Sus scrofa: one gene and its partner. The protein of the gene in region 1 interacts with the protein of each later gene in a pairwise test. Links are inferred from orthologs where the notes say so. Each region holds a gene or a part of one and is shown on either strand. Other genes may lie near its edges. The genes, in order: FAM92A and CBY1.

What was found.
Region 2: the proteins of FAM92A (region 1) and CBY1 interact in binary tests that used the Homo sapiens proteins (3 or more experiments, as listed by UniProt). The two-hybrid records come from large-scale screens. The link is inferred for Sus scrofa from reciprocal best matches to the Homo sapiens genes CIBAR1 and CBY1.

Annotation. Positions count from the first base shown.
Region 1 is NC_010446.5:42,975,243-42,979,060, forward strand, and holds part of FAM92A (protein FAM92A1), read right to left. Parts: intron 2,260-3,818; coding exon 2,254-2,259; intron 1,089-2,253; coding exon 984-1,088; intron 1-983. UniProt on the Homo sapiens protein: Plays a critical role in regulating mitochondrial ultrastructure and function by maintaining the integrity of mitochondrial morphology, particularly the organization of cristae.
Region 2 is NC_010447.5:9,348,459-9,352,986, reverse strand, and holds the start of CBY1 (protein chibby homolog 1), read left to right. Parts: upstream 1-1,659; 5' UTR 1,660-1,676; coding exon 1,677-1,754; intron 1,755-2,780; coding exon 2,781-2,886; intron 2,887-2,971; coding exon 2,972-3,090; intron 3,091-4,528. UniProt on the Homo sapiens protein: Inhibits the Wnt/Wingless pathway by binding to CTNNB1/beta-catenin and inhibiting beta-catenin-mediated transcriptional activation through competition with TCF/LEF transcription factors.

The DNA of each region.
Region 1 (3,818 bases):
TCCTTGCCACAACGGGAACTCCAAAAAAATTTTTCTTGATCTTCAGAACTGAAATGGAGACCTTTGAGCTTGGCCATCAGAAAAGTCAGACTTCTGAAATCTTATGAAACTATGATAGGAAGTTTAAAACAATAAAAGAGCAAATGAATGTTGTTCCATGGATTGTAGAGAGGAATAATTTATTTAAGTGAAAGTTTTCTTTGCTAATAGTTGTAAAATGACAAAAGAAAGGCTGTTCCAGGAAAATTTGCAGTCATCCTTGGATGACTTATTTGGAAGGATATAGCATGGGCATAAGTAATTCTCTAAATCTTTCCAAGATGCCAATTAAAAAGTCCATGATCCTGAAAAGACCGTCTCAAGTCCATGATCCTGAAGGTCTACTGATGTGATACACTAAAATAAGGCAATGCTGCTTGTGACATCATATAATCACAGATGCAGGTGTGTGTGGTTAGCTACTCTTATCCTATTTGATAATATGTATTTGAGAGCTTTAAGTTATAAAAATTAATGTTAGTGTATTATAATGGAAAGCACAGATGTAAAAATTACATAAGTGGTTTATAGTTCAGATTTTTGGGATTTTTGGCTATGATTCAGGAAAGTTACTTCATATCTCTGCTTAATTTTTTAAGACATAATATATGGATTATACCACCTCACTCTGATGGAGTTGCTGTAGAGATGAAAAGATAATTTGTGTAAAGTGCCTGGAATAAGGCCTGATACATAAAAACATAATAAATGTTAGTTTCCTTTGATTAAATAGTATTTTTGATAACGTGAATATCTGGCTTCTGACTGGGAATGTGGCCCCTTTATATGCCATTGTTTCCTTAAAAATATCATTTTATATATTTTTATTTACATCTTTTTCACACAGACTGTTTATGGGCTAAAAACAACCAATAATTTAAATCTATCACATATTTAAATAAGATTAGAAAACATATTTTGAACTTTAATTGTTAATTTGTTACCTTTATATCCTTTATTTTCTGCTTTTCAAAACTGTCAATAGTTTCCTCCAGATGGCGAGTTGTTCGGGTAGCATCCATGGTAGCTCTCTGTAATTCAGTTTCTGCCTACAAAAGTATTCCCCAACCAAAGATATTTAAAAAAAAAAAAAAAATCAGAAAGTCACAAATCATTTCACTCTGTTTTTGTAAATGCTACCACTGCAGCATTGGCTTTTTGCCACAACAGTGTACATCATTAAAGAATGTATTTTACTACGTAAAATAAAATGTCAGAATAAGCAACCACATGCAGAATAAAGAACTTTAAATCCATTAGATTCATGATCTCAAACAAAAAGAAACAAAAGTCTTCCCTTTTATTTACATAAAATCATTTCCCCCCATATCACCCTTGGATGATTTACTGTAAAACAATTTTCTACATTTTCCAGTGCTTTCACCTATTTTACTGTCACTGCCGTTTATCATACTCTCCTTTTTATACTATCTCTCTTCCCTTTAACCTTTCCTCCCCTCAAACGAAAAGACCTGTAACTTAAGTATTTTCAATTTTCTAGAGCAGGTAGAGTAGAATATACACTACAAATATTTATTTCAGCATAGGGTTTCTATTTGTATATTCTTTTTATAAGCTACTGCTACACTATTACTATTTAGTTAGTACTTACTACAAAATATATATGCGCACCAGTAACTAATAAATTCGATGGCAATTATAATGCTTTGCTTCAAAGTACTCATATTATCCAGATCTGTGTCATATAATCAATATGGTGGCCACCAGCCACATGTAGCAATCTGCATTTAAATTAATTATAATTAAATGAAAAATTAAAAACTGGCTACTCTAGTTGCATCTCAAGAGCTCAACCGACATATATATGGCTAGTGGCCACGCTACTATAAAGGGTAGAATATTTCCAATATAATCATGTATTTTTTAAAAAAATCATCTCTTCCTTAAGGATAATAGTTGCCCAAAAACATTTCAAGATTTTTGTTAAACAATAATATACATTTTAAAACATGGCCCAATTTTCTGATTCAGTTCTTTACAATAAAGTTTTATTTCCTATGCTAGTATTGTGTTTACTCAAAAGTATCATGTCATCATTTTAATAGCTAACGAACAGGAAAAAATTTGCAGTTGCAGTAAGTTTTGTCACACATAATGACATTTAAGCTCTTTTTCAAGAAAATGTATAAATTGAAATAAGTAAAAGAGTTTACTATAGGGATCCATCTCTTGACACATCACTTTATTACACACCTGTGACTGAAGTTTTTCATAAAGGAAAAAATACATTTCAAAGAGAACAATTTTCCAATAAATTAAAATCATATGCTCATAGAATTATATAATCTTGTATATAGGTTATATATTAACCATAACTTCATACTGTATATATACTCTTAAAACTAGGTTAATTCAGATACACAATTTCAAGAAACTAAGCATTTATTTGTTTGGGGCTATGCCCGTGGCATGCAGAAGTTCCAAGGCCAGGGATTGAACCCATGCAACAGCTATAACAAGAGCCCTAGCAGTGACAATGCCAGATCCCTAACCCACTGAGCCACCAGAGAACTCTAAACTAAGCATTTAAACATATTTATATATACCTCTATGTGTGTACATTTGCTATATAGGGGGTAAAGTTTTCTTAAAACTATGCAAACTTTTAACTTTTAATCATAACCTGTAATAAAAACAATTCTCTATATACTGGGCTTTGGATTTTTAAAAATACAACTTTATCACAGAAAATTCTAAAGTAAAACAGAGCTTCTCTCAAGATTAATATGAAAAAATTACTAACAGGTATTATGCATGTTAACGTTTTACTAACGAGAATATTCAAGCAGACTATTTTTCTAATACTGTTCATTACATATGACTCATGAAATTCTTCACTGTGACTACTTAGTTTTGACATATCTTTTCCCTGCCAATTTCCTGACAGTTTGATTTTAAAATCTGGAACAGTAAGTAGAGTTGGCTAAACTAGGGAAGAGCAGGGAAGCAGAAACCACAGCTGGAACAGTGTATCTTAATTTTCTGTCACTGTCTAGCAACTACTATTCATTTCTTAAAGTCTCAAATCCTTTCACTCCTGCATAGCAACTCACCCAAAGTTACAAGCTATTTTTAGAAAAGTGGATAGAGATTTCTATTTCTTCCTTTTGTTGAAAATTCTTTAAAATCCTCTTAATATACCAATTTGGGTAGGAAATACTTTTGATTAAAATATTATGGTACATTTTTGTGAATAAAGTCCTAATAAGGACTTTACCCTAATGAAAATTAGTTACAAGTGCAAAATGGCTTATAAAAGAGTGAGCCAGATTGGTGTGTTTTTCTTTTTTCCTTTTTTCTTGCTTTTTTAGGGCTGCACCTACGGCATATAGAAGTTCCCAGGCTGCTACAGCTGCTGGCCTATGCCAGAGCCACAGCAATGTGGGGTCTGAGACTCGTCTGTAACCCCTGCCACAGCTCACAGCAATGCCAAATCCTTAACCCACTGAGCGAAGCCAGGGATCAAACCTTTGTCCTCATGGATACTAGTTAGATTCGTTTCCCCTGAGCCACGATGGGAACTCCTGTTTTATTTTACATATTGACCTTTAATGAGCTTTTTTTGAATAGTCAGATGAATTTTAAGGGCCTGTGCTGGCAAATATTGTACATTGCTATGACTGAGTATTTTTATGTATACATTGAATGCATTTATATATAGACTGTCTTTTATTTTCTGGTCTCAGGTTGTCAAAATCCACTAGAGTTATAAATCTTTCCCAGTGAGAATGGCAATTCATCTATAGCAGTAATCTATT
Region 2 (4,528 bases), on another chromosome or scaffold:
TAGCTCCAACTGGACCCCTAGCCTGGGAACCTCCACATGCCACGGGTGTGGCCCTAAAAAAGAAAAAAAAGAGGAGGGGGGCATACGGAAGTTCCCAGGCTAGGGGTCGAGTCAGAGCTGCAGCTGCCAGCCAGCCTACACCACAGCTCATGGCAATGCTGGATCCTTAACCCACTGAATGAGGCCAGGGATTGAGCCTGTATCTTCTTGGATACTAGTCGTTACAGCTGAGCAACAACAGGAACTCCTTTTTGATTGTTTGTTTTCTCTTTTTAGGGCCACACCTGCAGCATATGGAAGTTCCTAAGGCAAGGGGTCAAATCAGAGGTGTAGCCTCTGGTCTACACCACAGCCACAGCAACACCAGATCTGAGCCACATCTGCGACCGACACCACAGCTCATGGCAATGCTGGATCCCTGACCCACTGAGTGAGGCCAGGGATTGAACATGCATCCTCATAGATACTAGTCAGATTTGTTTCTGCTGAGCCACGGCAGGAACTCCAGTTTGTTTGCTTGTTTTTAAGTCCATGGATTTAAAGCTGTCGGGCTAGGCTTGTAGGGTGATGAAATGTTCTATATCCTGATCTGGAAGGTGGCAACAGGGGTGTGTGTGTGCACATCTAATGAAAACTCATGAAGCCAGAGATATTATTTGTATTCTTTTTTTATACATTATATATTTGTGTTCTACTTAAACATACAAAAAAGTTTGCTTCTCCGCCCATGGGCAGTGTCAGTAAATCAACTTAATTGGGCCTGTGTGAATTGCACCAGGTTGCGATATGCTGAAGGCAGCTGTCTGGCTGCCGTTGTCAGCCCTGCCATGTTGCGGGTCTCCTCCTCCCACCACTCACCTTACCTCCCATTCAGGACAGGTAGTCTTCTCACATGTGGACTGAGTGAGGGGCACTGTTATCAGTCTGAAAGCAAAGTATAACTATGGCTTCATTTCTTTAAGATGGAGTATATGGTGAAGCTGTTGCCCCAGGTGTGATTCTTACCAGTGTCCAGGAAGGAGTAGGATTGCATGCCTCGCTCCAGACTATAAGCCTGGCAAGGCCAGTTTGTGACAAAACTTAAGCCAGGTAGGCAGGTGTCTGTGGTTAACGTAACCCGTAGAGCCACACAGACCTGTGTTCGAATACTGGCTCCTGGAATTCCCGTCATGGCTCAGTGGAAGCAAATCTGACTGGTATCCATGAGGACGCAGGTTCAATCCCTGGCCTCACTCAGTGGGTTAAGGATCCGGCGTTGCCGTGAGCTGTGGTGTAGGCTGGTGGATACAGCTCTAGTTCAACCCTGACTCTGGGAGCCTCCATATGCCACAAGGGTGGCCCTAAAAAGCAAAATCAAAACAAAACAAATACTGGCTCCCATTTAGGACTTTAGTCTTGTCTAAACTTCACTTGTCAAATAGGCATAAAAAGAGGAGCTGAACAACAGCTGGTTGTGAGGGCCGAGCCATTGGGAAGGTCTTGGCGGGCTGCCCAGCACGTAGTGAGCACTCAGCACGTGGGAGCGAGCACCAGGATTATTAACGGCCGTGTGATAAGATGTGTGTATTCATGATTTGAAGACAGGGACACAAGGTCATGACCAACTCTTTGTATCCTTGACTTTTTTCCTGACCCTAGGAGGAGGGAGCATTGACCTTTCCTTCATCAAGCCAAAGATGCCTCTCTTTGGGAGTACGTTCAGTCCGAAGAAGACGCCCCCTCGGAAGTCCGCCTCGCTCTCCAACCTGCATAATGTGAGTGTCAGCCTGGCGTGCAGTGTGCCTGGAGCATCGAGCCTGGTCTCTTACGGAAAGTGTGGTCCTCGGGAGGCATCCTCGTGGGAAGGTGTCCTTTTAAATCATGTTATTGCTATTTTTATTTATGTATTTATTTACTGGCAGCTCCCACGGCATGTGGAAATTCCCAGGCCAGGGATAGAACCCACACCACAGCAGTGACAATGCCAGATCCTTAACCCGCTGCACCACCAGGGAACTCCCTGTTATTGCTATTCTTAAACTCTTATTTGGGAATTATTGTCAGAGCTTGTTCAAGAACATTAAAAGATAGTCGATTTCATTATGATTTTTTGGGTCCAAATGAGATTATCAAGTTTGACTTGGCTCTATTCCCAAGACTTGGCCTGGAATCAGTTTTAGTCATGTCTAAGAGTCAACTTGCTTCTCAAAGGATGATGTTTTGCCAACATTGCTAGCATTCAAAAGGATATGCCACAGCTCCAAAGGCAGTTTCCGAGCCCCTCAAGGGCAGAGGAGTTACATTCATCTCTGAATGTTCAGTGCCAGTCTGGTGCAGCGTGGGTGCTCAGTGACCTGTAGAAACATTGGAAATCACATTCAAGAGCAGCTGCTGCTGCTCGTTGGGCCTTAGCGTTTTATGTCTTTTCCACGACATGTGTAGCTCCATGGTAAGCAAATGAGAGCGTCTTACATTTAAAAGGGCTTTTCCACTTTATTATAAATTTGCAATAGGACTTCTTAATCCATTAAATGCTCTGTAGATACAATTCAGTTTGCAACTTTCAGCATGTATAGCTTTTCCAGAAAGCATCTATTGCATAAAGTGTACATTTCTTCTCTTCTGGCTTAAAGACATTTTTGTACCTTATTTGATTTTCTGACTTAAAAAAAAAATTATGAAATGTGCTGAGTAATGATTAGAGAAAAGAAATGAGTTGTTGGGGTCATGCAGCGAGTAGAGGAGGCACGGGGCCTAGAGCCCATGTGCTGTAGCCTCCAGCATGAGCGTCTCACCCACAGTTGGATCGTTCAACCCGGGAGGTGGAGCTGGGCCTTGACTACGGAACCCCCACTATGAACCTGGCGGGGCAAAGCCTGAAGTTTGAAAATGGCCAGTGGATAGCAGGTGGGCTGCATTTCCTGCCACTTTGTCCCACAAGATCGTGGAAAGAAACCCCACCTTGTAACTGCTGGTTCTCTCCTTCCACCAGAGTCGGGGATTAGTGGAGGCGTGGACCGGAGGGAGGCTCAGCGCCTCCGGAGGCGGAACCAGCAGTTGGAGGAAGAGAACAATCTCTTACGGCTCAAGGTGGACATCCTGCTAGACATGGTGAGGAAGGTGATGGGAAGGGCCGCCTCGGCTTTCCTTGCGCAGGATCCTTGCGAGTCCTTTCAGGCAGCTCATACCTCTTGAGTGCCAGTTTGCCCAGGTACATCGCTGTGAATCCAGAGATACAAAACCACATCGAAGTCCCTACCCTCAAGGGCTCATCATGTACCTGAGAGATAGCGAACAGATTGACAGGGCCTCGTGATGAGGGGCCATGCTTAGAGTCTGTTCATGGCCCCACGTCAGCACACACACGAGAGAGAGAGAGAGAGAGAGAGAGAGAGATTTATTCTGTGCAGGCAGGAGGACATCACAGGGAAGGGATATTTGAGCTGAATGTGGAAAGATAAAGGTAGCGATGGAGGCTGGGATGAAGGCATTCAGGAAAGACATTCTGCTCCTGGCTTGAAGAGGTCTCGCACCAAGCAGCCATTAGTCAGCGCCCCGAGCAGGCCTGCCAAGGGACCCTCTCTGTGCCGCCATCAGTTTCGTTTCGTGTGGATTTTAAAAACCCAGCACCCCGTTGAGCCTAGAGGTGTATGTGAAGGTTGGCTGAGAGGCAGGGAGCCCACGAGGTAGTGGTCTGGCGCTCAACTGCCTGCATTCCCTTGCCCAGCTCTACCCTTGGCTGTGTGACTTCAGGCACGTTGCTCAACTGCTCTGTGTGAAGAAACATCTTCAGGAATAAAATGGGCATGATAGGAGGCGCTACCTCAGTAGTGAGTTAATGCAAGTACAGCCCTTCATGTCGCTGTTCATGACACGAAGAGTGTCATGCTCAGAAAGTAGAACTCTCTCACAGGAAACTGACCTCTAGAAGTTATATCTCTCTGTCCCTATCTGGCGTGTCTTCTACCCTCTGCTCTAAAATCCACTGAAAGGGAGTTCCCATTGTGGCTCAGCTGGTTAAGAACCTGAGTAGTGTCCTTGAGGATGCGGGTTTGATCCCTGGCCTTGCTCAGTGGGCTAAAGATCTGGTGTTGCTGCAAGCTGCAGTGTAGTTTGCAGGTACAGATCGGATCCTGTGTTGCTGTAGCTGTGCTGTAGGCCGGCAACTGCAGCTCTGATTCAACCCCTAGCCTGGGAACTTCCAGGTCCTGGTGCCCTTAAAAAAAAAAAAAAAAAAATTCACTGAAAGATCCTGATGAGGAAAGTAGCATTCTTTTTCAAGCATTTTTCCCCCAATCACCGTTATTTGACCCATGACTCAAGCAACTCAGACCCTAGTCCTTTAAAAATCACCAATATCTGCCTTTTTCATCCCCTGAAACCTCGTGTCCTTAACACAGTGAGTGCCACACAATCTTAGTGCCACAAAGTGTTGATCAAATGGATGGTGAATGTTCTTCAAGTGCTTGAGGTCCTGGGTGGTTCAGGAGGTTTCCTCTCTGCCCAGTTACAAAAGGGTTCCCGTCGTGGAGGCTGCTGGCAGCATTAG